Linked DNA regions of Mus musculus. The protein of the gene in region 4 interacts with the protein of the main gene of each other region in a pairwise test. Links are inferred from orthologs where the notes say so. Each region holds a gene or a part of one and is shown on either strand. Other genes may lie near its edges. The genes, in order: Ranbp1, Knstrn, Stx18 and Nupr1.

The links.
Region 1: the proteins of Nupr1 (region 4) and Ranbp1 interact in a two-hybrid assay, tested with the Homo sapiens proteins (2 studies listed by BioGRID and IntAct). The link is inferred for Mus musculus from reciprocal best matches to the Homo sapiens genes NUPR1 and RANBP1.
Region 2: the proteins of Nupr1 (region 4) and Knstrn interact in a two-hybrid assay, tested with the Homo sapiens proteins (2 studies listed by BioGRID and IntAct). The link is inferred for Mus musculus from reciprocal best matches to the Homo sapiens genes NUPR1 and KNSTRN.
Region 3: the proteins of Nupr1 (region 4) and Stx18 interact in a two-hybrid assay, tested with the Homo sapiens proteins (2 studies listed by BioGRID and IntAct). The link is inferred for Mus musculus from reciprocal best matches to the Homo sapiens genes NUPR1 and STX18.

The regions. Positions count from the first base shown.
Region 1 is NC_000082.6:18,237,177-18,244,247, forward strand, and holds the end of Ranbp1 (ran-specific GTPase-activating protein), read right to left. Parts: intron 4,698-7,071; coding exon 4,569-4,697; intron 3,784-4,568; coding exon 3,718-3,783; intron 3,667-3,717; exon of another isoform or gene 3,541-3,666; intron 3,018-3,540; coding exon 2,911-3,017; 3' UTR 2,803-2,910; downstream 1-2,802. UniProt on the Homo sapiens protein: Plays a role in RAN-dependent nucleocytoplasmic transport. Alleviates the TNPO1-dependent inhibition of RAN GTPase activity and mediates the dissociation of RAN from proteins involved in transport into the nucleus.
Region 2 is NC_000068.7:118,832,573-118,839,390, forward strand, and holds the end of Knstrn (small kinetochore-associated protein), read left to right. Parts: intron 1-1,427; coding exon 1,428-1,559; 3' UTR 1,560-3,640; downstream 3,641-6,818. UniProt on the Homo sapiens protein: Essential component of the mitotic spindle required for faithful chromosome segregation and progression into anaphase.
Region 3 is NC_000071.6:38,124,248-38,131,710, reverse strand, and holds part of Stx18 (syntaxin-18), read right to left. Parts: intron 4,780-7,463; coding exon 4,721-4,779; intron 3,668-4,720; coding exon 3,598-3,667; intron 1-3,597. UniProt on the Homo sapiens protein: Syntaxin that may be involved in targeting and fusion of Golgi-derived retrograde transport vesicles with the ER.
Region 4 is NC_000073.6:126,620,374-126,628,337, forward strand, and holds Nupr1 (nuclear protein 1), read right to left. Parts: upstream 5,098-7,964; 5' UTR 5,062-5,097; coding exon 4,950-5,061; intron 4,661-4,949; coding exon 4,530-4,660; 3' UTR 4,517-4,529; intron 3,207-4,516; 3' UTR 2,873-3,206; downstream 1-2,872. UniProt on the Homo sapiens protein: Transcription regulator that converts stress signals into a program of gene expression that empowers cells with resistance to the stress induced by a change in their microenvironment.

The DNA.
Region 1 (7,071 bases), on a different chromosome or scaffold from region 4:
TAGAAGGATCTTAAATTCAAGGTTATCCTCAGCTACACAGCCAGTTCAGGGCCACCAGCCTGGGCTATGAGGCTATCTCACACTAACCATTTAATAACTATACTATGCTGCTCTCATCAGCCTTGGGTGTGAACTCCTCAGCTTCCCTATTTCCTCATTTGACACGCTGTAGCTTTCTTGTCTCAGTATCCCCAAAGTGCAGCAGTAGTGATGCCAGAGGCCCTGTGAAGCGAACTTAGGAACCTGTGCTGAGGTTGCTAAGCCCTATAGTAAGGTACAATATCCCTGATTCTATTGCAGTGTATCTGGCTTCATTACTCTGAACCTTCCACTATGTCAACTTCCAAACTTGCCACAGGTGTGTATGCACAGTAACACACAGGGCTTGGCACCCCCTTAAGTTTACAGCATCTACTGGGAGTCTTGGAATGCCCCCATGGATAAGATATATCTGTTTCTTTTATCTTTTCTTCTTCTTCTTCTTCTTTTTTTTTTTTTTTTGGTTTTTCGAGACAGGGTTTCTCTGTATAGCCCTGGCTGTCCTGGAACTCACTTTGTAGAACAGGCTGGCCTCAAACTCAGAAATCCACCTGCCTCTGCCTCCCGAGTGCTGGGATTAAAGGCGTGCACCACCACGCTCACTACATCTGTTTCTTACAGTCTTAAAACCTGTTAAGACTCCACCCTACTTGGCTCAGTCTCTGCGTCAGGATATAATACCAGGCTAGTTACCTGTTGATGTCCTTCCTCCAAACTATTGTCAATGGGGCACTCAAGACTTGAAGCAATGCATGTCTTCCTTGGCTACACCATCTATAGTATGAACCACTTCCTTGAATGTACATCAGAATACAACCTGAGCACAGGACAGCAGTGTCCCTTAGCCAGTTTGTATTTGCAGAATAGAAGGAAACCTTCTGGGTCTGAGTCCAGGATTTATGCCATGAGAGCCATCACAGCCATCCTCCTCTATTGCAGATACATGGGGAGAAATGCCAAACACTGGTCATAGGAAGAGACGTCCTACTTATAAAGTCCTCTCCCTAAGGGCATTTACCCCACTCAAAGGTTCATTTGCCTGTTACTACAAGGTAAAGGGTACTTGAACCTGAATCCTCAGTCCAGGGCCCGTGGACAGTTCTTCCAAGGCCACCTGTAGCCAATGTCTCAATTCTACTACATCAGGCCCCACTACATACACATATCTCTTCCTGGGATGGAGAAAACCAAGAAACAGCCTTTAGTTGGCTTTAGAGAGCAGCTTGGGGAATGAAAAGGTGCTTTTGCAGGAATGGGCAACGAGGGAGGTGTGAGTATGATAAAGTACATGTCTATATGGTAATGTCACCATGAAAGCTGACTTTGAATGCTAGCTTAAATTTCTTTAAAGCTTTAAACTGGACTGTAGTGGCACACACCTTTAATCCCATTGGGCAGATGTTCTGAGTTTGAGGCCTGCCTGGTCTACAGAGGGAGTTCAAGTACAGACAGAGCTACACAGAGAAACCCTGTCTCAAAATAAAAAAAAAAAAAAAACAAACAAAAAACAAAAATAAAAAAAGAGAAGAAAGGAGAAAGATGGAGGGAGGAGAGAAAAGGGGAGGGGAAAGGAGAAAGGCAGGCAGGCAGGCATTTGTAAGCACACCCTGCAAAGGACAAGGTCAGACTTAACAGGGTCAGTTTAATAAGGCGAGCATCAACAGATAAATATCCAGACTCTGGTAGGTGTTACTGGCAGTCTGCTACAAAGCAAGAGCAGGTCCTGTTAATGCACTCAGACCCCACCATGGGTCTTGCCCTGTGAGGTGGGGCTGCTGAAGCTCCTGAGCCCACAATGAGTCAGTCAGGTCAGGGCTTTCTTTTGCCTGTCTGTAAGTATGTGCATTATCATTTGATTTGCCTAGAAAGAGAGTGTCTAATTCTCTGGGGCTTCAGGCAATTGTGAGCTTAAAACTGAACTCATCCTCTACAAAAGCAGTAAGCGTTCATAACTGATGAGCCATTTCTCTAGCCCCACATAAGGCAGGTTTTATTCAAGTAGTCCCTAATCCTAATGGTGCTGAGTTTAGAATTCAAGGTCCAAACTCCTAGAGTGCTATTTGAAGATGTATTGGGGCACCTAATGGCTTCCAATAGGAGAGTGTAGGGCTAGACTCAGTTACACTATGGCACAGTACCATGGTGGCCTTTCCCTCCACTGAGCTTGGAGCTGCTCTATTAACCAGAGCCAATCAAAACCAGTTTTTCCTATAGCCAGATGTTTAGCTACCTACCACCTCCCTTCACCAAGATGAAAGCACATAATAGTCTCCCTTCACCTCTCTTTCTCTCTCACACACACACAGACCCTATACAAAAGCACAAAGCAATAGTTCTAGCAGCAAGGAAGCAGCCCACCTTGGCCCTGAATGCCAGTTGCAGCCACACACACTGTGGCCTCCAGCACCAGCCGGTACCGTAGTATCTGGTCCCTAAGAGCCACAGAAGGACACACCATTTTGACAAACTGGTTTTCTCCTAGGAGAAAATCAGGCTGGTAGACAGGTGGCCAAGGAGGGCTCCAGGCATAGACACCTTCCCCACCCCTCACATAGCCTTGTCAGCTGGTCCAGGTTTTCAAAGGCATTTTTTATTCACTATTTTTGATGACTATAAATAAGTGTTTCCACTATGGAAAAGAAAGTTAGCACAGTACATTTTCATGACTGGGGAATGGATTTCTGAAGTCATGTTCAATGGTGTCAAAACTTGGAGGAAAAAAAAGTTAAAAAAAAAACAAAACAAAAAAACAACCTGAAAATTGGAATTCAGTTCTTTATAAAGTCCCTTGTAAAAACAAAACAGAAAAACAAACCTTAAAGGGTAGGGCAAATTTTTAAAAAGAAAAGGAAAGGAAAAAGACAGAGTGATTCATTGTTTCTCCTCAGACTTCTCTTCAGCCTCCTCTCTGGCCTCCCTCACTGAAAGGGCTTCCAGCTTCTCGGCCACCTTTTCGGCATTATCATTTTTGCCTGGTCCTGCAAAAACAGGCAATTGCAGTAAGACAACAGAGAAGTCCGGCTGTGAGACTACACTGCTCTTGGCACTTACCTAGTGCAGAGGCCCGACCTGTTCCCCAAGCATCACCCACCACTCTCCCCAGATGGGTCCAGCAAGCTGCTGGTGATGTGTGGTCACTTACTAACCCAGGCCCCATCTGTCCCAGAAGAACAGAAAACAATTTGTTGAGAAAATGAGAAATCTATCTTTTTGTTTGTTTGTTTGTTTCATTTTTCGAGACAGGGTTTCTCTGTGCAGCCCTGGCTGTCCTGGAACTCACTCTGTAGACCAGGCTGGCCTCAAACTCAGAAATCCACCTGCCTCTGCCTCCCGAGTGCTGGGATTAAAGGTGTGCGCCACCACACCTGGCACGAGGACTATATCTTAAAAGCCCTTTCACTGCTGTTGAGTTCCAAAGAGCTGTAACTCAGCTCAGTACCTGAAACTGACCACAAATGCTAAGAGGCCGATGTGAGGCCAAAGCCTACAAGGAAGGCATCAGGCTGTGTCCCCAGGCAGCTGCACTGCCTCTGATAGGCAGAGGAAGCCACAGCATTCTGGACTGTTTCTTTGGCAGATGGAAAAAGCACCAGACTGGAGCTGCAGCCAGGTGCAGAGTGAATCTGCAAAGAAGCCCCACAACCCACCCACCCTCATCACTCCCGGGCACCACATCACCTTTCTTTTCTCTCTCTTCAATTTCTTTCCTGCATTCTTCAAACTTTGTTTTGAACTTTTGTGCATCTGTAAAAAGAGAAGGGACTAATGTCTGAAAGTTCTCAAAGTAGACTGGCAATATCCTAAAATTCTGAAGCGTCAGTCAATTCATGGTCCTCAGTGGCATTTTTTTCTAGATGGGATCCTGCTTCATATCCCTGGCTGTCCTGGAACTCAAGATGTCCATCTTCCTCTGCTTCCTAAGCGCTGGGATTAACCATGCACAACCCCAGTGACAATTTCTGACTATTTAATGACTGCAGTTGAGTCCCTCCTGAGGCCATCAACTCTGCTCAGCTATCTGTCTATCACAATCAGACAATCAAGGGTCAAAGCTCTTCTTACTATAGGCTCTACTCATGTTGGAAGGGCTACCAGATACACATTATATTCCAAGTCCAAGGGCAAGGCTCACTTTCACAAGAGTACCAGCCACTAGGGCATTTGCCATGGTACCTGCTGACTCTCCATGATCCCCAGGGCACAGCTTTGTGGCAATTCAGACTAGAAAGATTCCCCCATGGAAGAGAGATTAGCCAGGGCTTGCAGATCTCTGCAGTCTTTGCTGGTACAGGTGCCTAAGCGTCCGTAGGGGACACCAGTGTCCCAGTCTTGAGGAACCAGAAACCAAGCAGAAGCAGCAGCAGGAGGAAACTCTAGGGTGTGTCTCTGGTTCCACACACCTGATGGGAGTCAACTGGATGCAACAACTGTTTATACAGACCCCTAGAATTTCAGAGGCTCTGCATGCTTTGGGCTAACATCAGCTGCCCAGCAGGCGACCCACAGTTGGGCGGGCAAGTTCTGCTTACTCTCAGCATTTAGGAAGCGGATGGCGAGCAGCTCAGGCTTGGGGCACTCGTCAGCAAAGTCGGCGTGGGTATTCCAGACCCAGGCTCGGTCACTGCCAGCATTCGGCTTCAGCTCCATCATTGGTGTAACTAGGGTAGAGAAGCCTGTGAGGACAATGGCCAAACCACCCAGCCCGCACCAACCTGCTCACCAAGAGAAGGAACCCACTTCAGCCAACATGGAGTCTAAAATCTGAGATCCAGGCTGTTGTACCTGACTACCCTGAGCCAAGCAACCATGATACTGAAGTACTCTACTATGCCCACTTGCAAATTATCCCAGCTGGGCTTGACTGTTTATATCCCCTCAAGTTCAGAAGGGGTCAGAGACCCCACCTGAGTATCCTATCACTGGTTGTGTGCAATTCTGCCCTAATTGCATGTGCTCTCCTCCAGGAGGGGCTAAAGAATTAGGTTGGGAAAGACTAAGGGAGTGGGAGGGGCTTTACCTATTGAGGAGCCATCATCCCTGCTAAGTCAAAGCTTTCCAAGTACAGCCTGATGGGGTAAGGAGCACCAATACCCCTATGAATAACCCCTCACCTTTGTTCTTTAAGAAAGTCCAATAAACTCATTAGTTCCCAGAATACAGTTTGGTGGCATCACACCTTGACTTGTCATTAGAATCTTAAAAGAAATGTAGCTACTCCACTCCCGGAGAGGAATTTTAAAATGCAGGCCTACACAACTCTACACCTGACGCAAACCACATCTGCTTAAAACCAGAACAATCTTTATGTGGAGCAAGCTCAAGACCCTGAAGCACAGGCTGTCTGCTGACGTTTTAAGGGTAGCTACTCCAGCTCAAACTTTCCTAGGGTGACCAACAGATGGCTACAAACACATGCCCACACCAGCACGAACCTGGCTGACTGAAAGCTGGGAACAGAGGCTGAAAGCAGGGCAATCACCACATTACTATTTAGCCTGCTATAGTCCAGGAAGAACACAAGCAATGGGTACCAGAATCCTATGACAAACACGAGTGTGTCATGGAAAATAAGTCATGACTCAAGACATATTTATTCTGAATTCCTCAGGTCCTATACAGAACCAAGGGAGAGCTAAGCACTGACAGATAGCTGTCCTCCACTGATAGTCTGATCCTCTAGAATGTCACTTACTGGTATATATGCCCAGCCACTGGTCCCTGTACCCTTGGCAGTATTTCTAGGATTTCAGAGAGGCCCTCTGACCACACATGACAGCTAAAGTTGGAACTCAAGAGATCTGAGCTACACCAGCCTAACAGTGGTCTTAGGAACCGTACACTATCCACAGTCTTACTTTCCCCATACCTCACTTGATGCCTGTGGTTTGAATGAGAATGTCCTTCAGAGGCTCAGAATGGCTTGCTTGGCTCTAGGTAGAACCTTTTGAAAGGATTAGGAGCAGCCTAGTTGGAGTAGGTGTGGCTTTGTTGAAAGAAGAGTGTCACTCGGGTGGGCTCTGCATTTCAAAAGCTGATGCCACAGGCCCAGGGTCTCTTTCCAACTGCTGCCTATAGATCAGGATGTAAAGCTCCAGGACCGTGCCTATCTGCTTCCTTCCATGATGATAATGGACTAACCCTCTAAAACTGTAAGCCAGACACCAATTAAATGCCTTTTATGAGTATCTGTGGTCATGGTGTCTCATCACAGCCACAGAACAGTGACTAATCAATGGCCAACTTTGACCCACAACCTATGGGGTGCATGAGACGAGGAGAGACAGGAGGACTGCAGGGTCTGCTTGCTAGCCAGGCTTTGGGAGCACTTGATTCCTTCCCCCCACCCCAGAGACTGCTCCAAATTGGGACTGAGAGGAGACTGAGGCAACTGTGTGACAGGGAGGGCAAAGATCGCTCTCATGCCCCTGCCTCAGCAAACCACCTACTAAGTCCTATACCCTGATCTTACCTATCATCTGCCTATGTAACCAGGACAAAAGATCCTGATGGGCTAGAAAGTGTAGCCTGTAGAAAGGCAGTCTGTAGACTGTCTCAGTAAAGGCACTCTACAGGCCTCATCATTGCCATCCCTATAACCACAAGGTGAGAGGAGAACCGGCTCCTACAAGCCCCCCCACCTGGCTGCTATGGCCATGGCGCATGCACACACAAAGGAAAGAAAAAATGTGTTCAGCAGATAAAAATCACTAGCTATGGGGCTGGAGAGATGGCTCAGTGGTTAAGAGCATTGACTGCTCTTCCAGAGGTCCTGAGTTCAAATCCCAGCAACCACATGGTGGCTCACAACCATCCATAATGAGATTAGATGCCCTCTTCTGGTGTGTCTGAAGACAGCTACGGCGTACTCACTAAATAAATCAATCAATCAATCAATCTTAAAAACCTTCGGGGCTGTTTTCCAAACATGACGCTGTGCCTTCCTCTGCTGCCCATCTGAACCAGACTATCTCTGGAGAAATGAGAGTTTGAACAGATACCTGCCCTGGACAGATACCTCACTAGCTATGTAAG
Region 2 (6,818 bases), on a different chromosome or scaffold from region 4:
CACCCTGTTATGGCTTTGCTCCTTGGGGGGAAAGGGACGGCTCCTACAGTCCTGAGTTGGGGACAAAGATGGAGAAGGGGGGGACATCAAATGGCCAGGGCTCCCTGCCCCGGTAGGGCTGACTCAGGTCAGCAGCCACGGAGCAACAAGGATCAACTCTCTAGGGATATAACAAATAACACACTCCTAAATCAGACTAGGTCAAGGCTCAACTCCCTCCTTCCATTCTGGAGGAGTCCAAGACAGAGACTACACTCCAGTCTGGGCTCCCTGCAAGCAGCCCATCAGAGCTCGCCACGATTGACGTCCCAATCGATGGACCCATTCACATAGCTGGGCAAAAAGGATGGAAGGCAAGGGTCTGCCTAGGGTTGAGGTCAGGGTGGGAACAGGGCCGGGGCGCCCAGCAGGGACAACAACAGCTGGTACGACTTGGGGTAAGGTGGGTAAGTCCCACATGTGCCATAGAAGGCAGCCCATAGCACCAGGCCCAGTATACTTGTTTGTTTTTAATGAACTATTTTGAAATAATTTTAGATTTATAGAAGAGTTACATATCTAATATAGAAAATTCAGTTTCCCTAGGATAATACCTCATGCTGTCCTCACTGGCATGCCATTGGTAACTAAAGTCCCAGACTTAGTACTGAATCCATTTTTTTTTTTAAGATGCTTTTCTTCCACAAATTCTTTCTGTGTTCCCGAGGACCCTAGAAAGGTTCCTGGGGATAAAACCATTGCAAGGCCCAGGGGAGCAAAGTCTCCACACCTCCCATGGGCCACACCGCAGTATGCTCAGAGAGCTGAGACTGAAATCCATGCTAAAAAGCTCTTCTCAGGAGACCTGGGTGAACTGTCCAGATTGTAGGGCTAGAGGGTTGAGAGTGCTTGCTGCTCCTGCAAAGGTCCCAAGTTCTACACTCTGCAGCTCATGCCTTCATAACTCCAGCTCTAGGGATCTGATGCCCTTTTGTTTCTCTCCTCTCCATGGATATCCAAGGGTATACACACACACACACACGCACACACACACACACACACACACACACACACACACACACACACACAATTACCAAGAAAAGAAAATGTAAGAGCCAGGCACGGTAGCACACACCTTCTATTACAGAGGCAGCAGGGGTCTTCGTACGTTTGAAGCCTGGTCCACATGGTGAGATTCTTGGACGCCTTCCGATTGCCAGACAAATGGTGGGGCAGGAGACACAAACGGTTTCATTGTTCCAGTTTAAATACAGAGTAGGGAAATTCCCCGAGCCAGCACAGATAAATTTTAAGGTGGGAAATAAGATGCTGTCTGGTACTGGGGTCGCCCCCCTCTATGTAGCACGGGTATAACGGTCTGGTCCGGGTGCTGTCTTTGTTGTAAGAGTTGTGTTATGGGTTTCCCTCTGGGATGATTTCCCTTTCAGGCCTTGAAGGTGAAGTTGAAGCTGAAAGAAGAGGAGAGTGTCCAGTTCCTGGAACAGCAGACCTTATGTAAGGACGAAGCCAGTGACTTCACAATAATCCTAGAGGAAATGGAGCAGCTCTTAGAAATGTAGCTCAAGGCAGGTGGCCGGACGGCTTCTTCCTGGATAAACCCTCGGCAGAGGCTACTTAGGATATCTTCAAGGACTCACCATCCCTTAGGTAAAGACCTTCTGCAGCAGTTGATCCGATAAGGCCAGTTGATGCTGGGGTTCCTCCTTTAAGCAGATTGCCCCACCTTCAGATGGCTCAGCTCTCCTGCAAGAGAGGAACCTGGGAGTTTGACTCCATTTCCTGTGCAGCAGAGAGAGCAGCAGCCCTTAGAACTAGGATACTAAACCAGCTGCCTTGGAGACTCTAGAGACTCGGAAACATGGGAAGAAGGCCCACACCACAACAGCACGAGTGCTGTGCGAGAGATGTGACTGTGAGCCATGCTGTCCCCTTGTCTCTCTGGTTGAGTTAAGTTTTATGAACTTGAAATTCTTGAAGTTTTTTTGGCTTAATAAATGGGGGTGGAGGTATACAAAGTAGCACCTACCTAAAACTACAACTAGAGCTTTGGAAATAAATGTTTCTATGAATATTAATATTCTGACTAACACTAGGGAATGAAAGTAGCCTCTTTAACCCAGTGTGGTGGCTCATATCTATAACAATCATAGGACTTGGGAGGCTGAGGCAGGAGAATTGTCTTGAGTTAGAGGATAGCCTAGGCTGCAGAAATACTGTCTCAGAAAAGCAAGGAAGATGTTGGGGATTAGGAAATTGCCACACAAACCATATGTACACCAATCTCAGTTAAGCAAGAATAGTTTAGTGAACGCACATCATAATATGGAAGTCCGGGTCCACGAGAAGGAAAAGCTCAACTGTGGCACCAGTCTGCTCTCGGAGTAGGCTTTCTATAGGAAAAACCAGGTTTAAAGGTCAAGGAGAGGAGCAGCTGGCTTACTAGGTAAAGTATTGTTAGCCAACCTTTAAGCCAATTGGTCCTGAGTGAGGTAAGAAAGATGGTGGTCAGGCGGTGAACAAGGGAATTTCAGAACACTGAGATAACTAGGAACAAGTGATTTAATCACGTTGTTTTTGCTTGTTAGTAGCATTTTTCAGTGTCAGTTACACTAATCACTATGACCTTAATTTCACCTTGTGACTAACATTGAGCCTGAATACAAATGGCTACAGTTGTGTTAAAAGGAACAGGCCTCAACATGAGGAGGAGGAGGAGGTAGGATTAAGCGGTGTTTGGTCTGGATCTGTGAGTTGAGCATACTGGCATAAGTCCAAGGTACTGTGACTGCCTTTCCCTCCATCCGCTCCGTGCCTGTGACAAGGCCTCCTGCCTTCCAGGATTGTCAGTTCTTCCACATTCGTAGCTGTGTGTGCCATGCTCTATTCACCGTGTTGGTGGCCAGATGCCTGTGTTCTGTCTGTATGTCTGCAGCTTGTCTGTCAGAGCCAACCTAGAGCCTGGTGCAACAGGCCCTCCCCATTGGGATCACCAAAATGCAGCCATGTTCTCCCCCTTAGCTGAAACACAGCAGCCTTTGCTTTGGCCATTCCCATTGCTTTTGAGCTTTCTGTTTTCTTTACCAAACTTGCCTAATGTCTCCTTCAAAATCACTAAGACTGACCAGAGTCCCGATCCCCAACGAAGCTGAGTAATGTCCCATACTTAACTTTTTCTTTCTTTCTTTACTTTTTCAAATGTATAAAATGGTTTATAAGGTTTATAAGGTACAACTAAAGACCATCGCACAGCAGGTGAAGCATACCTACTTTATATAGGTTCACCATACACAGAATGGGACTCCAGGAAGAGTCCTATAGAACACTGCATTCTGGCTTCCTGTGTGATCCACATCTGCTCCTTTGACGTGTGATTCTTCGAAGATGAAGTCCTAGCAGAAGTCATATGAGGGAGTTCACAGTCTCATGGAGTGCACTGCGCTGCTGCTGTCCATGCACGCAGTGGACTGAAGGACACTAGCTATAGGATCCACACGGGAGCAGGTGTCCCACCATCATGGAGCTGTCTTATGTGTCATAGTCCATTCTTATATATCTATCAAAACGTATACTGAACAATGACTTCTGGGTTGCAAAAGATTTTAACCTGCCTTCCATGCCTTTGTATACACACACACACACACTACCTGTGCCAACTTTAAAGGGCTAAAATTGCTAAACAATCTCATATTGTTGATTATGTCATAAAGAGTATAAATATTCCCTCAGCATCCCTCTCTCTGCCCAGATCTGCCTTCCACTTCTTGCCCAGCTATTGCCTGTCAGCTCTTTATTAGAACCAGTTAGATACAATTCTAGATTGCCTTAGGCATGTGAGGAAGAATTACAAAATAGGAGACAGGTGATGGGTCACAGACATAACAATACTAAGATGCTGCCAGCATTTAGCTCTGCTCATACAGGCTGGCCTCAAACTCAAAGATCCTCCTGCCTCTGCCTGGGATTAAAGGTGTGCAGCACCATACCTGGTCTCACTCTTATTCTTCAATTAACATACAAAATAATGACCTCACTTTGATATTTTCATGTATCTCACATTTTAAATTTTGTGATATATATCCAAATCCAATTCTATTTTGCATAAAATGGGATGAATCCAACCAGTCAACATGTGACTTAGACCATGTGGAAAGGGACTCACCAAACCTGTAAGAACACACAGGCATTATTTCTCTTAAGCTTAACTGACTCTGCTTTTCCACTGCACTGGTTTTAGAAGTTACACATATCCATTGGTGTCTTATCTCTGTCACAGAACATAGAGGGCAGAGTAGGTTGGTCAAAACAAACTCCTAGAAGGTTTTCTGCTTTCCATTCTTCCAGCCAGAGATCTGTGAATGTGCAGGAATCACACTGGCCCCAACTATCATCCCTCATAAGTAAATCAACCTGGCGTCAACACAGGGTAAAGCTGCAAGGGACGTGCTTTACTGAGACCTGCTACCCGCCAGCTACAGCACTTGTAGCCCAGTACTCTGCCGCCTTATAGCCCAGGCTTTCCCACTGGGTTTTTCCAGCTTTGCCTCCAGCCACAGTCCTGACTGAGCATGCCCACTGCCTTCCCCTGTGTGTATATCACTTTGGCGCTTACACTCAGATTAAACCATCTTTAAAATGACACTTCAAAAGACTTCTCATGGACTTTCAGGGCTTGAGGGGTGGGAGAGATGAAAGTATTCACTGGTAAAGTATGTGTTCAGTATGCACAAGGCCCTGGAATCGATCCCCAGCAACCCACACACCGTTTTCCCTTATAAACCCAAATGAAACCTCTGATGAAAAAAGGAAAGATGCAGGAGGCCAGGCTAGGGATGTAGTTTAGTTGGTAAAATTCTTAATAACATACATGAAGCCCCAGGTTCAATCCCAAACATTGCATAAAATCAGGCTTAGTAGTGAGATCATGCCTGCCGCTAATCAATCCCAGGAGCTGGAGGCAGGAGGACTGAGAGTTCAAGATCCTGCTCAGCAGGGCTGGAGATGACACGGCAGTGAAGAGACCTCTTTCAGAAGACCAGTGTTTACCTCCAGCATCTGTCACACCAGTTCCGGGGATCCAATGACCTCTTAGCTTCTGAGGAAACACACACAAATAATAAACTTTTGAAAAAAAAAATTCACCCTCAACTACAGAGCAGGAGTACAGTGTCAGGGTTTTGTTTTGTGGTTTTAAGGGGAACAGAATTACAGGAGGCCATTGTTTCAAAACTATCTGAAAAGCCAGGTTAAAAATAGAGACTGCCCCACCCAGGGATCCATCCCATTAAACAAACACCAAATCCAGACACTGTTGCATATGTCAACAAGATTTGGTGACAGGACCCTGATATAGCTCTCTTTTGTGAGGCTGTGCCAGTGCCTGGCAAATACAGAAGTGGATGCTCACAGTCATCTATTGGATGGAACACAGGGCCCCTAATGGAGGAGCTAGAGAAAGTACTCAAGGAGCTGAAGGGGTCTGCAACCCTATAGGAGAACAACAATATGAACTAACCAGTACCCCCCAGAGCTGTGTCTCTAGCTGCATATGTAGCCAAGGATGGCCTAGTTGGCCATCAATGGGAGGAGAGGCCCTTGGTCTTGCAAAGATTATATGCCCCAGTGCAGGGGAATGCCAGGGCCAGGAAGCAAGAGTGGGTGGGTTGGAGAGCAGGGCGGGGTGGGGTATAGAGGACTTTCAGAGAGGAAACTAGGAAAGAGGATAGCATTTGAAATGTAAATGAAGAAAATAATAATAAAAACCAAACGAGAATCAAAGTCACCAAGGTGAAACTAAAATGTCTACCTGCTCTTACCGATCTGAATTAAAGTGGAAACAGCCAAAAATCTCCCAGACTTGCCTACTTGATAAAAAGTTTTGTCTTAATCCTTAACACAAAAGGAGTTAACAGGAAGCTAGCTTTCCTGCAGCAAGCAGTTGCTTTCCTACTGTTCCTTATCTCTGTCCCCATCTTACAAGGAAACCAGCCAGCCTGCTTTTCAAAGCCCTTCTCCATTTATAAAACCTCATGGAGAGCCTCCGTGGATCCCTTGTAAGGTCTCCGGTCTTCCTCATGAAGCCCCAACAGTTCCTCGCTGTAAGTGGCTCCCCACTGGAGTGGATTCTCCTGCCTTTGCATTGAGCACACCACCCCAACATCATTGTGGTTTATGGGGTGCTAGGCATTTGCCTAGCATAGTCTATAATCTCAGCACCTGGGAAGTGGAAACAACAGAACCTAGGAGTTCAAAACCAGTCTGGGTCATGAGACCCATCCCCCCATCCACCCCCCCAAAAAGACCTGAGGCGAGATAGAAAGACAAAAGGACATTTAGAGACTTGAGAAGAAGAAAGCAGCCTTTTTTCTAGGTGACAAAGGAAAGTGAGGTCCAGTGACTCTCAGCTTGCCTGCTGTGACTCTAATACTGCTCCTCATGTTGTGGAGACTCCCAGCCATAGAATTATTTTGTCGCTACTGCATAACTAATTTTGTTAGTTATAAATCATAATGTATGTTTTCCTACGGTCTTGGTAATCTCTGTGAAAGGGATAGTTGACACCTGTTGACCCACAGGTTGAGAATCAGTGTCGCACAGTTTCATGGAAGCTTTCTCTTCTTCCTGGGGTGGGACTTTAACTCAGGAGTTAGGGGTACCAGAAGCCCATAGTCACACAAAACTTATACCCAACCACTGGAGGGAATCGGGACAGGCACTCAAAAAGTTGGAGGCAGGAGCTGATACAGCGGCTATGGAGGGGTACTGCTTCCTGGCTGGCTTCCCTATGGCTTGCTCAACCTGCCTTCTTACAGAATCCTGGA
Region 3 (7,463 bases), on a different chromosome or scaffold from region 4:
GTATTCTCTTGCTTTTTTACCACTAACTGGGAACTGGGTTTGGCCTTAATTCAGACAGCCTTGGCTCTGTCTGGACAGGTCCAGACGACTGACACCATTAACACTTTGTCAGCCTCAGTGACTACAGTCATAGATAAACAGGCCTCAGCTAATGTCAAGATACAGAGAGGTCTCATGCTGGTTAATCAACTCATAGATCTTGTCCAGATACAACTAGATGTATTATGACAAATAACTCAGCAGGGTTGTGAACAAAAGTTTCCGGGATTGTGTGTTATTTCCATTCAGTATGTTAAATTTACTAGGGCAGCTAATTTGTCAAAAAGTCTTTTTCAGTATATGTTACAGAATTGGATGGCTGAATTTGAACAGATCCTTCGGGAATTGAGACTTCAGGTCAACTCCACGCGCTTGGACCTGTCCCTGACCAAAGGATTACCCAATTGGATCTCCTCAGCATTTTCTTTCTTTAAAAAATGGGTGGGATTAATATTATTTGGAGATACACTTTGCTGTGGATTAGTGTTGCTTCTTTGATTGGTCTGTAAGCTTAAGGCCCAAACTAGGAGAGACAAGGTGGTTATTGCCCAGGCGCTTGCAGGACTAGAACATGGAGCTCCCCCTGATATATGGTTATCTATGCCTAGGCAATAGGTCGCTGGCCACTCAGCTCTTACATCTCACGAGGCTAGACTCATTGCACGGGATAGAGTGAGTGTGCTTCAGCAGCCCGAGAGAGTTGCACGGCTAAGCACTGCAATGGAAAGGCTCTGCGGCATATATGAGCCTATTCTAGGGAGACATGTCATCTTTCATGAAGGTTCAGTGTCCTAGTTCCCTTCCCCCAGGCAAAACGACACGGGAGCAGGTCAGGGTTGCTCTGGGTAAAAGCCTGTGAGCCTAAGAGCTAATCCTGTACATGGCTCCTTTACCTACACACTGGGGATTTGACCTCTATCTCCACTCTCATTAATATGGGTGGCCTATTTGCTCTTATTAAAAGGAAAGGGGGAGATGTTGGGAGCCGCGCCCACATTCGCCGTTACAAGATGGCGCTGACAGCTGTGTTCTAAGTGGTAAACAAATAATCTGCGCATGTGCCGAGGGTGGTTCTTCACTCCATGTGCTCTGCCTTCCCCGTGACGTCAACTCGGCCGATGGGCTGCAGCCAATCAGGGAGTGACACGTCCTAGGCGAAGGAGAATTCTCCTTAAGAGGGACGGGGTTTCGTTTTCTCTCTCTCTTGCTTCTTGCTCTCTTGCTTCTTACACTCTTGCTCCTGAAGATGTAAGAAATAAAGCTTTGCCGCAGAAGATTCTGGTCTGTGGTGTTCTTCCTGGCCGGTCGTGAGAACGCGTCTAATAACAATGGGCCCCTTGAACTGTGAGGCCTTGAGAATCAGGCTTATGTCAGTGCTGCAGGCTGTTTATGGCAAACTCCTCAGCTCCTGCTCTGATGATCTCTGCAGTGTGTCACTACCCACATGCCCTGGCCCATGTGCCATGTGCACTCCAGTGATGTCTCCACTGGGAACTGAATGACTGAAGCCTGCCTTCCATTCTATAGCATTATACCAGGACGGGCTCCCTAAATGTGGGCACATTAGAGCATGTCCCCCTCTCTCCACCCCCGACAGGAAGACTAAAAACAGTACCACATGGCTGGTATGGTAGGGTCTCCAATAGCATTGTCTCATGAATGGAGACCAGCACCCGCTACTTCCAAGTTCTCAGCATCTACACAGGGCATTTGTGGCCAGCAATTCAAGTCTTGTTCTAACTCTTACCCATTTAGCAATGTGTTAAAACATGCTGCTTGAACTTTATATGCCCCGGTACAGGGGAATGCCAGGGCCAAGAAGCAGGAGTGGGTGGGTAGGGGAGCAGGATGGAGGGAGGGTATAGGGAACTTTCAGGATAGCATTTGAAATGTATATAAAGAAAATATCTAATAAAAAATAAATTTAAAAAAACCACGCTGCTTGTATGGCTAATGTGTTTCAAAGCCTGTAACATCATGAAGCTGGCTTCTAGACCTTATAAAGAATAAACAATGCTAGAGGAGAGGCCAGTATCAGCAGTTCATATTTGTCCTTGTCACTTGGTGAGTGACACAGGAGAGATAGGAGATAGTGTGAGCTGTACAACCTGACAAGAGCCTTATCCTAGTCCTGCCACTCAGACAGTATGTGACCCTCTGTAAGCTAGTAGATATCTCTGAGCCATAAATTTCCCTCTCTTTGTGTTGGGTGATGCCCACCTCTCTGGTGACGATTCCCAGGCTGTGTGGGTGCAGCCTCTAGACCTTGGAGCCTAAAAGACTGTGATTCCCTTTGCTGTATGGCTAGCCAGGGTATGTCACTGGATTACCATGTAGAGAACATATTCATGGTGGCATATGTGGTGTTACTACAGCAGGGCACTACCTGGCTTGGTCAGAGTCCCACCGAAAGGCCTGCCATGGGCCAGATAGGTCAGTGGTACTACTTGCTGGCTCTGAGAGAGAGGCCTGGAGCACTAGCTGTACTTCAGATAATGGGGCTGAGGAGAAGTACTGGCCACAGTGCACAGGGTGGAGTATCCACAGTGCAACCTGGTCACCCTGAAAGCTTTATGCTTTAGACAAAGTGACTCTCCCCAAAGTGAGCTGCGGTGCCAGCTCACTTGCTTTGATGGCTTCCTCTGTCATGCAGCTGACATGGCCATTAGGCCAAGGGTCTGCACAAAGTCTGTCTCCAGGGTTCATGGCCTTCACACACGTGGCTTGGGTAGATCTTTAAGATACTTATGAAGAGGGCTGGAGAAATGGCTTGGCAGTTAAGAGCACTGACTTTTCTTCCAGAGGTTCTGAGTTCAATTCCCAGCAACCACATGGTGGCTCACAACCATCTGTAATGGGATCTGGTGCCCTCTTCTGTTGTTTCTGAAGTCAGCTACAGTGTACCCATATAAATAAAATAAATAAATCTTTTTTTTTTTCTTTTAAAAAAGATACCTGTGAATCTTATTCTTATGACCGTGTACTCCCAAATGTTGTTAGCTTCTACCTCATCCATGCTGACTCAACTCTGCTGTGAGGTTCAGGCAGCTGTGAGTGAGCCAACGTCCCGGAGAGAAGAGGAAGGTATGTTTTAGTCCTAAGCTCACCGGGGAGCAATCTTCCCCCTCTCAGCTGTGCTCCAGGAGCAGCAGGGGCTGGCTGAGAGGCTGTCCCTAATTTCTGGAGCACAGTGGGTTGAAAAGCAGCTCTCCATTCTGCACCGTGCAGAGTGCTTCTGTGCTCACCTGTGAACACAACAGCAGCCCTGTGGTCTCATCCCTTTCTACAGATGGGGGTGGGGGATGGTGTGGAGGGATTGCACCTTCCTAGTACCACTGGATGCTCTAGCTCACAGGGGCCACTCTGCTCCTCAGCTGTGCCCCAGAGGGTTGCTGCGGGCTGATGGAAGCTAGGTCAGGGTGCTCTGAGTGATGTGACTAGCTAACAGAACATGGTGCTGTCTAGTCGGCATCACTCAGAGGCTTCTGGAAGAGGGCTCCAAGCTCTCTGTCAGTCCTAAGTCAAGACTCAAAACTGCTGGGCTCTGGATCCTTTTACCTGTTGCAAAACCTTTTCGGTGAATATCTCTTGGAGTCTGGAAATTTCAACGACTTTCCCTTCGATTTGCCTTCAAAAAAAGAATGGACAGGTGACATGTTAGCTGTTAGCTCCTGGTAATCTAAGATGAATGGTACACTTTTCTGAAGGAAACATTAAAGTGATAGCAAAAGAGGAAGGGCAGCCATGCCAGACAGGAGGAGGAGCTGGGCAGGCATGGTAGGTCCTCTGCATAGCCTAGTTACCTTGTGATACATGCTGGAGAAGCAAAGGCATGGTTACTTTGAAAGCCCATCTTTAAAAAAAAGTATTATTTCTCTCTCAAGCCAGCTCCCTATGGCAAGACAATGCTGCAGTACAGTCTGTGATCACCACGTCTGGTTTAGCAATCATGTGCTTGCCCAACCTGAAACACTGGCTGAGCCTTTCCACCATGGGGCAGGCTGGGGCTGAGGGGCTGAGAGTGGAAGCTGGCTCAGACTGACCTTCCCTACTCCAGCACAGCTGGGTCAGGGGCAGGAGAAAGGTGTGAGTGGCGAGGGATTCCCTCTAGAAAATATGGGAAGGGCAGACAGGAGACATGGAAGGAGCAGTACCAGGGCATGGAGAAGAACAGCAAGTGGATGGGCAGAAGAGGCCCGAGAGAGCCACCTCTGGGACAAAATAACCCTGGGGCTGTCCCAGGGAGTACCCCTACCCTGAGTAAGTCCCAGGCCGGGAAGGGCCACACTCTGAATGGAATGGGGTCCTGCAAAGACTCAGCTGTTGCTTCCACAGCACTGCCACGCTCCTGTGGAACACGGGCGCTTGCAGTTCACTGGCAAGTGGGTGTGAGCCTGGTCACCTGGAAGCAGGACTCCTTCACAAGGCCCCCACTGCATTTACAGCCACTCCACCCAAGCAGCCCCGTGCTAGTGCTATGGTTCTGCGTTTGGGACAGACTGTCTTTAGTGTGTGCTTTCTGCATGCTGCAGCACCCACAAGCTTACTGTAGCAGCCAGGCTCCTCCCACAGGCTCAGCCGGCCCTGCCCTGTTACACGTGGGTGCCTGGATGCCAAAGCAATTGGAAAGAGCCCCCAGTATCTGGGAAAACTGTCATCAAGCTACTAGCTACATACATACCTCACTTCGTCAAACAAGCTGTTCATTTCACCAATGAGTCGCTGATTTTCTTGTTCAAACTGCAAAGAAGCACACACACTCAGAATGATATCAGATGGGACTCAAGAAAGGGGCAACAAGGAACCTTTGACCTTCCACCCACCTTCTAAGGATCCCTGCCCAGTCCCGTCGGCCAGCACAGGGTATTGCCAGCAGATTGTCTGAAAAATACTGTACTCTGGGAGGAAAATGCTTGCCAGTCCAAAGACCAACTGTGCTACGCTGACTTCAGAGTCCTCCTGGGTCTGAACTCAGGAGCAGCTGACACTCAGACTAACTGCTGAGCAGAGGAAGCTGCCTCTGCGGCTTCAGACACACTCCGCTTTGATTCCACGGCTGCCGCCTATCTCCAGGTGCAGCATTTTAGACAGAGAACTTGGTGTGGGGAAGACTGAGGGGCAGAGGCTGGCAGGCTCCTTGGCCTGTGACAGGGACAGACCTTTGACCTCCCAGGGCCTTGTGTGACAGCACCAGGGCTGCCCACTGCCTAGAGGTAGCCCCACTGCCCTTTTAGAGTAAGCTCCACACCTGCTTCATACTGGCTTGTCCTAGTTTTCCTTCTGTGGAGTACAGTCTAGATCCTGAGCAGAATGCTCTGAAAAGAACTCAGGTAATACATGGCTCCTCGTGTTGGGCTCAGTACCCCACTGCCTATGACAACAGTGCACTGCTTCCCTGTTGGAGCTACCTGGCCCAGCAGAAGAGGCCTCAGGTACATATTATCATCTGTGATCCAGCCAATGTTCACCTCTGACGGCAGCCTCAGCCACTTCCACAGGACACAGGTGTATGCCACATTCCCCCATCTCTTCTGCCTGGCTGGGGACTCCAGCACAGGTGCCATGTTAAGGCCTGGCCCTAGAGCAGATGGAGGCACTTTCTCTGGGTCTTCCCTGCATGCAGCTTCACTGTGATATTTCTTAACTTGTTCAGGGACCAGCTTCTCTTGAGAGGCAGAGCCATCTTTAGTCCTTAAGCCCTGCACAAACCCTGCTACCCGGCCATCAGAACAGAGGCTTCATTCTACCCTAGACTCATCAGATCAGAAAATGGGAGGAGGAGGATGGGTGGTTCCTAGCACCACTTGAGTCATAGCAGCTGCCTTGCAGACTGTGGAGACAGTATTGCTAATGGCTCTTTCCATTAGGCATCACAGAGACCAGGTAAGAGAATAAAACCTTCACTTTGAGTCTGAAGGCTTCAGCTGTTAACTGTCTGCTCAGCAGTGACTTAGGAGGCCAGTATTCCTTGCGCATGTGTAATTACTTCAGTTGTAGGTGCTGATTTACATGCACCAACTCCCTCAGGTATGCTCAAGTTTGTTTTCCAGCGAAGCATTTCCTTTCTTTCTTTTTCCCCTAATGATAAAATATGGACCTGCCCTTTTAAATCTTGTCTTTCGATGCTTTGAAACTGTCCTTACAAACGATTAACTATCAGTCTAGGTGACTTACTACTGGATGCTGCCTGCAAACAAAGCCCTCTGGCTTCCTCCAGCCCAGGCATGAGATCCGGGGCTGCGGGGCCTTTCTAAGCCCTAGCAACTGACACTTCAGAAAGTATCACAGTGGCTCCAGCAGTCAGGCAAAGGCACAGGCTTCCCTGACCCTGGAGTTCTGTATGTCATCTCAGAAATACCCAGCCTTTCAAGGGACTGATGCCACACACCATCCCATGTGGTAAGGGGTGCTACTTCATAGCAAATGTTGCTACTGTTAAGAACTGTAATGTAAATGCCTGTGTTTTCTGATGGACATTCACTGGCAAACCTGCCCCGAAGTTTGGGTAGCAGGGGTTGCCATGTTGGCCACATACCTCATGGTATGGAAGCCAGGTATGAGAGCTCATGAAAATGGTTAGGTGGTCCTAGCTGGTCGGCAACCTTTTTCTTTTTTCTTTTTGGTTTTTCGAGACAGGGTTTCTCTGTATAGCCCTGGCTGTCCTCGAACTCAGAAATCCGCCTGCCTCTGCCTCCTGAGTGCTGGGATTAAAGGTGTGTGCCACCACGCCCGGCTGTCGGCAACCTTTTGATGGCTATCAGTTTCTTTGTAGACAGCTGTGAACCTTGCCCTTCCTTGACCCTGAGGTATGAAGTTGCAGTTGGAATCCCATCCCCTTCACCTTTGAATCTGTATGTCTTTGGTGAGTAATCCAACCCTTCTGTCCTTCTGCCTTTGTCACCAAAATGGGAAGAGTAGGACTTAGGCAGTGAGGTCGTTAAGACACGTATGTTGTCTACTTGAGTACTCTCTGGGAGACAAACTCCAGACAGGTTGTTAAGGTAAGGGGGGAGATGCATGGAGGTCCCTTTCACCTCAGATTCAATGGAGCAGCTGTAGCCCGTTGCTGTCTCACTCTGTCAGGCTCTGGAATATGTACAGGCAGTCCCTTCTAGGGTCAGTCTGACTGTGCAGCCATGTTGCCTCCTCACATAAGTAGGGACTTGGCCAGGCCAGGCACAGGGCTGAACCAAAGCCTTGGTCTCTGTCATCAACACCACAGCAGGATGTCTACATGCCCAGAGATACAACTTGAGATTCAGGTGTCCCTGAACAGGTAGGTGTCTATGGCTCACCACATAGTGGAGGCTGCAATACTCCCTCCTGGATGAGGCTAAGTAACATAACCCAAGTGGAAGTACTCAAGGCAGCCATGGTGCAAGCACAGTATGCTAAGCAATAGCTCCCTTTACTATCTGCCTCTT
Region 4 (7,964 bases):
GTCCAGCAGCTAGGACTGGCCATTGACACTGAGGACGGGTGTTCTTGACCTTAATTTTCTGTCTGACGGAAGGAAGGTTGTTTTCGAACCCATCCTTAGAAGATCTACAATCTAGGGTTGCTCATTGCCCAGAACCCCGTGTTTCTTGGGCACACCATCAAAGGGGAAAAGGTCAGAGGTTGGAAAACCTGAGCTCAGAGTCTCATGTGGTATTGATTGAGTCTGCGTGTCTCTAAATGAGCCATGAAATACAATGTAACTTACTATATGTGGTCTAGTATGAACTTGCAAATCTCTGGGCCTTAGATTTCTGTTTGGAAAAACAGGAACACTAGTAGTGTGTCCTATTGGGTTACTATAAAGATTAAATGGAGACATAACTGTAAAATCCTATTGCAGGGCAGGTACAGATGCCACGGTCAGACTGTCATCTTAGCATGTAACCCTGTGTTTGATGCCCCGCAGAAAACAAACGCTACAAACAAATGAACACACCTGTCTGTCCTAGGGCAGGCACCCAAAATATGGGCGCTGTCATTTCTGAAGCCGGACACCCAGATGTATACTGCTGCAAGCATGCTGCCCAGAGGTGGTGCTGTTTTAGGTTCTAAAGCTAAAAGCTGTACCATGTGTCCCTCTCTACAAAGTCTGTGCTTCGGCCCTGCCCTGGTAAAATAACAAGCAACTAACAGATGTCAAAGCAATGAATGATTTGGGCTAGGTAGGGTGGCTCACACTTTTAATATCAGCATTCAAGAGAGGCAGAGGCAGGCAGATCTCTATGAGTTCAAGGCCTGACTTGTCTACAGAATTCCTGCACAGACAAGGCTACAGAGTGAGATCCTATTTAAAAATAAAAGGCCCACTCCATTGCCACCAGGACAATTTCCACAAAACCACCTGCCAAAAGAAATATCCGTGAGCCTGTTAGCTGGTGTGGCATTCCAGAGGAGAGATCAACAGAAGGAGGGGAGAGGGCCCAGCAGAGGAATGCTGAAGACAAGGCCTTTGACTCAGCCTTGCAGGTTGGGTGGCGTCACGGGCATCCTGAACAGAGAAGCAGAACCTTCCAGAGCAGGTGGTTGGCTGGTAGTCCACAGAAAGCAGTTGCCCTGAGGTAGAATTGGACAGCCTTCAAGGAAGCCAGTCCTATTCTTCTTGTTCTTCTTGGCACTAAGGAAACCAGACATTCCTGAGAACACTGAGATAGGACCAAAAGCTTGCTTGGTTGCTTGATTTATTGGGTGTCACTTTGAGTCCTGGTTGGCCTGGAGTACTGAGATAGGACCAGAAGCAGCTTTTACTCCCTCCCTCCGCCCCCAACCCCCTTCTCTAGATAGGGTGTCGCTATGAGTCCTGGCTGGCCTGGAACTACATAAACTAGGCTGGCTTCAAACTCATAAACTCTGCCTGCCTCTGTCTTCCGAATGCTGGGACTACGGATGTGAGCTACCATGCCCAGCCAGACCAGAAATTGTCCTAATGTTCCCAGCTGCACAGGAGGTGGCTGGATATGTCCCTGAGAGTTGCAGCTGACCCACAGCCTGCTGTGAGGCCACTGATTCCGTAAGTACCCTAGCTTCCGGTTCCATCTAAGTGCAATGGGCTCCAGGCTCTACAAGCTGGGTTAGTGAGAAGGGACAAAGGCTCAGCCCAGAGCTAGAGCAAGGGCTCTTTCCTCCCACTTTGGCTGAGTCTGAGTGTTGAGTAATGTTTCTGCTTATTTCTTCCAGTATGCTCCATCTTCTTCCTCTAATAAAACTCTGCCCTCACCTCAGCTTGGGTTAGCAAATGGCTGGCAGCCAAGAATGGCATTCCCCGGCCTCTCTCTTCAAGCATGTGACTAAACTGTGAGCAGGTGCTATGCGTTCTACTATCAAATGGTATCCTTAAAAATAAATAGGGTTGAGCTGGAGAGATGGCTCAGCGGTTAAGAGCATTGACTGCTTTTCAGAGGTCCTGAGTTCAACTCCCAGCAACTACATGGTGGCTCACAATCATCTGTAATGGGATCTGATGCCCTCTTCTGGTGTGTCTGAAGACAGCTACCAGGTACTCATATACAGAAAATGAATAAATAATTCTTTTTAAGAACGAATAGGCTAAGTGGGAGTGGTGATACGGGTGCCTAGAATTTGAGGCTTAGAGGGCCACTTGAGTTCAGGAGTTTGAGACCAGCCTCAAGAAAATGGACTTGCCACCTGTGTTACTTAGGAGTATTTACTCATAGAACTTGTGTGTGAGAAAGAACATTGTTTCGTCTGAGTAAAATTGCAACATTCCAAACTCAGACCTCAGGCCACTCTACACTTGGTTCAACCATCTTCTCATTTGCTTCACATTTGCCTGGAATTCTGGTCCTGAGACCCATCGGCCCACCATGCTTAGGGAGAGCTTTCTCACCAGCTCACCAAGCACCCCATCCTGGAAGCCAGCCTGGTATTTCATGACTGAATTTGAGCCCTCGGTTGCTTAAAACAAATCCTCTGCATGTTTTAAATCATGGATGCTGGGGTTTTTTTTTTTTTTTTCATTTTGCAAATGGTATTAACAGAAACATTCTCTTCCAAAAGCAGCTCTATATAATAGGACCTCATGGTGCTCAAGAATATGTAGGGGACTGGCCACAGGTTGTCTCTGGGACAGCACTGCAAAGAAACAAAGCAACTTCCCTGGAAGAAACCATAGAAACAGGCTCCTCAAAGCATCTGCATACATTAGAACAAGGCAACAATCACGGAGAACCGTTCAAGCCCATATGCTACGCAATAAGGACGCTCCCTTTCCAGATCAGCCTCCTAGAGAGACACACAATGGACACAGCCAGACACAACACACCCAAACAAAACAAAGGCACACAACACACGCCAAAGCTGTCACTGCTGTACGATTTATTGTTGCTGCCACCCAAGGGCATCCGATTTATTTCCCCCACAGTTCTTTTGGGGGCTGTCTTCCTAGCTCTGCCCGTCTACCCTCTGCTTCTTGCTCCCATCTTGCCCTTTTGCTGGGTCTGGAAGGGTGGAAGGGCTCCCTCTCCAGAACCTCACTTAGGTGGGAAAGAATCAAGCAGGCCTAGGTCCTGCTTACAACTCCTAATTTCTCCAAGGTCCTGTATCCATTGCTGGGTGTGATGTCCTGTATCCATTGCTGGGTGTGATGTCCTGTATCCATTGCTGGGTGTGGTGTCTGTGGTCTGGCCTTATCTGTGCAGAGGGAAAGCAGGCAACGAAAGGGACAGAGATCAGAGTTTGACTTCCACCTTTCCTACTCATATTTGCTATTACCTTAGAGAAGTACTTGACTCTATCTGCCTCAGTTTCCCTTTCCATAAACCAAACTTCCTCTCCATTGGAAAGGCTCCATGGGAACTCCCCCCACCTCTGGTTACCAGGGAGCTCAGTCAAATACGGGTCTCATATTATTTTAGATGTAGAATAAAAATAGTGTCACAACACTATTGTTTTGTTTTGTTTTGGTTTTGGTTTTTGTTTTTTGTATTTTGTTTTTTCGAGACAGGTTTCTCTGTATAGCCCTGGCTGTCCTGGAACTCACTTCTTAGACCAGGCTGTCCTTGAACTCAGAAATCCATCTGCCTCTGCCTCCCAAGTGCTGGGATTAAAGGCGTGTGCCACCACTGTCCGGCCAACACTATTTTTTTCATTTATTGATATGCCAATGTGTTTGCATGCATGTGCGCACATGCGTATTCTCGTGTGCTACTTTGAGCATATGGAAGTCGGTGGACATTGGGGGCACAGAGGTCCTTGTACTCAAGAGAAGCACTAAGAACCAGAAGTTTTAATCATGCCGTGTGTCTCCTCAATGCAGGAGATAAAGTCAAATACCTGCATTCCACTCAGAAATCTGAGAGTGGATTTTGTTAACAACCTGGTGAGCTTTTGGCTCTGTGTGGAGTCAGACCTCCCCAGCTTTTGCTATAGAAGCCGACCTCACTCAAGTTCTCCAGAATGATAATCCCAGACTCTCCCCTCCCTAGACCATTACCCACTCTTAGGAGAGATGTCACATCTGCCTGATGACCTCCATGCTATTGGTCAGAGACCACTCTAGATTCTAGGCCTTTAGCTCTAGAACCCACCCTCATGGAGTTTCAGTGTAGTCACACCTCAAGCTTTATTGTGCTCCTGGAATTGAACTGATGGACCTGACTGTTGCCTAGAAACCTCTTCCCAAATTGTACTGTGTTTTAAATATGCTGACAGTGAACCGCCTGGCGTTAGATGCCCTGAAATCTGATCCAAGCTGATGGAATTCGGTCTGAATGGGGTTTTCATTCTTATCACTTCCCTGCCTGGACATCTATCTGCAGGGCTCCCTGGGAACACAGCTTGCAGTTGGTTCTCTCCCCTTTCATCACTCGAGTCCCAGAGATCAAGCACAGGTTGTCCTGCTTGCCTGCAAGAGCCTCTACCTGCAGCGCCATCTCACCAGGACCAGCTTTTGGCTCCCCGCTTCCCGCTCGGCACACTTAGGCCCGGCTCTCCCGACTCACCTCCAGCTCCGTCTCAGCGCCAGGCTTTTTTCCTTTCAGAGTTCTGGAACTTGGTCAGCAGCTTCCTCTCATGCCCGCCAGGGCTAGGGCGGTTGGTATTGGCAGCAGCTTCTCTCTTGGTCCGACCTTTCCGACCTCCCCCGACTGGTGGAGCAGGAGGTAGAGGAGGTGTGTGAGGTTAGGACAGGCATATAAATGGCCAGAGTGGGGCGGTCACGTCTTCACGTCTGAAGCACTCTATCCTTGCTGTTTACTCAAGTATAGAATGAGAGATGCTCACTTGTGAGTTCTTGGGGCTAAGGGAGACAGAACTCAGTAGATGAGACTAGAAGGGGTTACTTGGGAGTTGGGAATAGATTAGCTAGGAAAGGTAAACCGGGGTACCCAGTGAGAAGCAGATGGGCTGACCAAGGAGCTACCACGAAAACCTTACCGACACAGGGATGGGCCAGGCTGTACTGATCATATTCATCCAGGATTCCATCTTCATCCTCTAGGTTTAGAGGTTGCTGGGAAGGGTTGGCTGTTGGTGGCAAGGTGGCCATTATGCCTAGTCTGCTCTCTCCAAAGTCTTGCCTGTGTCTCCTTGTCTGAATGTCTGCCCTCTCCCAGTTTCTCACCCTACTTATAACGCTGTCTCCTCCCTAAACCACGGGGTTGGCCCCCGCCCTCCAAGCCCTGTCTGATGCAATCTGGCCCTTTCCCAGAACTGGGCCCATAGACAGCAGTCCTGAGCAGAGAGGAGCACCCTCCCCTCCCTCCTCCCTCACAGGACTCACCCAAGCACAGCTGTGTTTTTCCACGTGGAAAGCTCTCGCCTCAGGGGCGGAGGAAGCAGACAGGATCTGGGCACAGTCTTTGGGATATTGGCCAGGGAGAGCAGAGGGCCTCAGATAGGCCAGTCCTTCCTATCATTTCAGCCTCTGCCACAAGCCCCTCCTGGGCCTGGGTCATAGTTAGACAGACAGACAGACAGACAGACAGACACACACACACACACACACACACACACACACACACACACTGTAGTCTGGTTCAGATTCAGGAGGTAGTGGCAGCATACATACTGAAAAGGGAGGGAGGAGGGACACTGACCCACTTCTTGCTTGGTCAGCAGTTCCTGTCACACCCAAGGCTTCTATTTTTGTGAAAAGTCCCCTTCAACAGAGTCCCCAGGGACTTCTTCCTCATGCAAGATGGAGGATAGCTAGCTGGTAGAGACAGCAAATACCCTGGATTCCACACTCTGATTCCTGATCCACCTCCCTCTACCTTTCTTTCTGACAGAATCCTTCTATGGAGCCCAGGTTAGCCCTTGAACTTGCAATTCTCTGGCCTCCTCATCCTAAATGCTGGGATCACAAGTCAGCTCAGATCCAGTGTTTCCTGCTGTGTGACCTTGGACACGTCACTTTCCCTCTCTGATTGCTTCAGGTTCCCCCTTTAACAGAGGATAACTCTATCTGGCTCTGTTGGTGAGAGGTTGCAGACTCATGAGGCCTGGAAAACCTTCACAAGCGGGAACAGTGTAAGGATTAGTCACAACTTCCCATGGGTTCCCATACAGTGCCCTTGCCTTGACCCTCCCCCCTCAAAAAAAAAAAGGGTGGAGAAAAGGAATTTAAAATAAAATATTGTGTGTTGGCAAGATGACTCAATGGGTAAAGTACTTGCCACCAAGCCTGACAACCTGAGTTTATCGGTTTCCAGGACCCATACAGTATGGGAGAGAAAAATGTCCCATAAATTGTCCTCTGACCCTCACATTCCTATCCATGTACACACACAATAAATACGTGTGACTTCTAAAATTTAAATAATATATTGAGGGCAGAATGAAATAAACAGGTATTTGTGCTTTGATACCCCCTGCCTTGTTTTTTAGGCAGTCTCACTGTTTTAGCTGTGGCTGGCTAAGAACTTGCTCTGTAGGCCAGATTTGAGTCTAGTGTTGAACTCAGAGATCAACCTGCCTTTGACTCCTGAGTGCCAGGTTTAAAGGTGTGCATCACCACACCCAGCCAGTATGAATCAAGTGTGAACTAATAGTAAGCTTTTTCAGTCCATACTAGCTTCCCTTGGGTTGTTTGATAAGAATTAGTATGAATTTTAAGTTCAAATAAAAAGCATGTGAAATGAAATTTTCTACTTTTTTTTTATTTTAAAAAAAGTTTTCATACAATGTATTCTGATCAAGGTTTCTTTTCTCCAACTCCTCCCAGACCCTCCCCATGCCCCCAAATTTTACTCTATAGGAAACGAACAGGTGAATCATCATTGTCACCGTCGTCGTCGTCAGAAATATGAATGAAAAAATTAAAAAGCAGAGGCCATGCGGCTCCTGGGTATGGTGGAGAAGGTTTAGTGTAGACATGAGGGAGAGCACAAGCAGAGCTATCTGCAAGAGTCCAGAGTGAACATGGCCAGCAGACTTAACAGGGCCTGTGGGAGACAGAGAGAGAAAGAGACAGGGGGAAGAGAAGAGAGGAGGGTCGACAGAGGAACCTTGGACCAAGTGGCCAAGAGGCAAAAAACAAACAAACAAAAAAACAAAAAAACCTGAGAACCCAGAGACCAAGAGGTAATAAAAAGGCAAAGATACTAGCATAGTCATCTTATTTAGGAATCAGAGAAACTGTGGGAAGGGAGAGTTTAGGGTAGCATGTGGGGTATACCAGCCAGGACAGCTCCGTAATAGGTGCTGGCAATGCTGAGAGAGGCAGGCTGACAGCATCTGCCCTGATATGTTAATAGGCACTTCAGTTAGCCATTTGTCCAGGGGTTGAGTCCTAACAAAACACACACACACACAAATCCATAAAAACACAAAATCAGAAACTATAATATGTAAACAAAGGACCAATAAGACCAAAACATGTCTGATGAAAACACCGTGAGAAAAGAAAGCCGATAAAAGTACTGTTGTGTTGGCATCTCCTGCTGGCCATGGGGCTGACCCTTACCTGGGGTTAATGCAGCCAGTGAGACTCTATTGGAGGAAACTAAGTTTTCCTTTGTAAGCAGGTGTCAATTTGGTTAGGGGTGGGAGTCCATGTCCACTTTCCCCTCTCAGTGCTGTGACCCCATGTGGCTTGAACCTGGGCAGGCGCAGGCAGGCTGCCAGCGTGTTGAGTTCATATGTGTATCAATCAGTCCTGTTGTGTCTGGAAGACACTGTTTCCTTCGTGGTATCCACACTCCCCGGCTCTTACAATCTTTCCACCTCCTCTTCCACAGAGCTGCTGAGCTCGGAGGAAAGGGGAATTTCCTACTCTTGATGGAAGGATATGAACCCTGTGAGTCATGTTAGCCCAGAAAGGGTGCCCACACCAATTCTATCTGCATTGCTGTCTCCAGGCAGGGAGTTAGACAAAACATTCCACATCTAAAAACAAAACAAAACTGGATTCCAGAAAAACCAAACCCTCTCAACCCTGGCCAGACATCA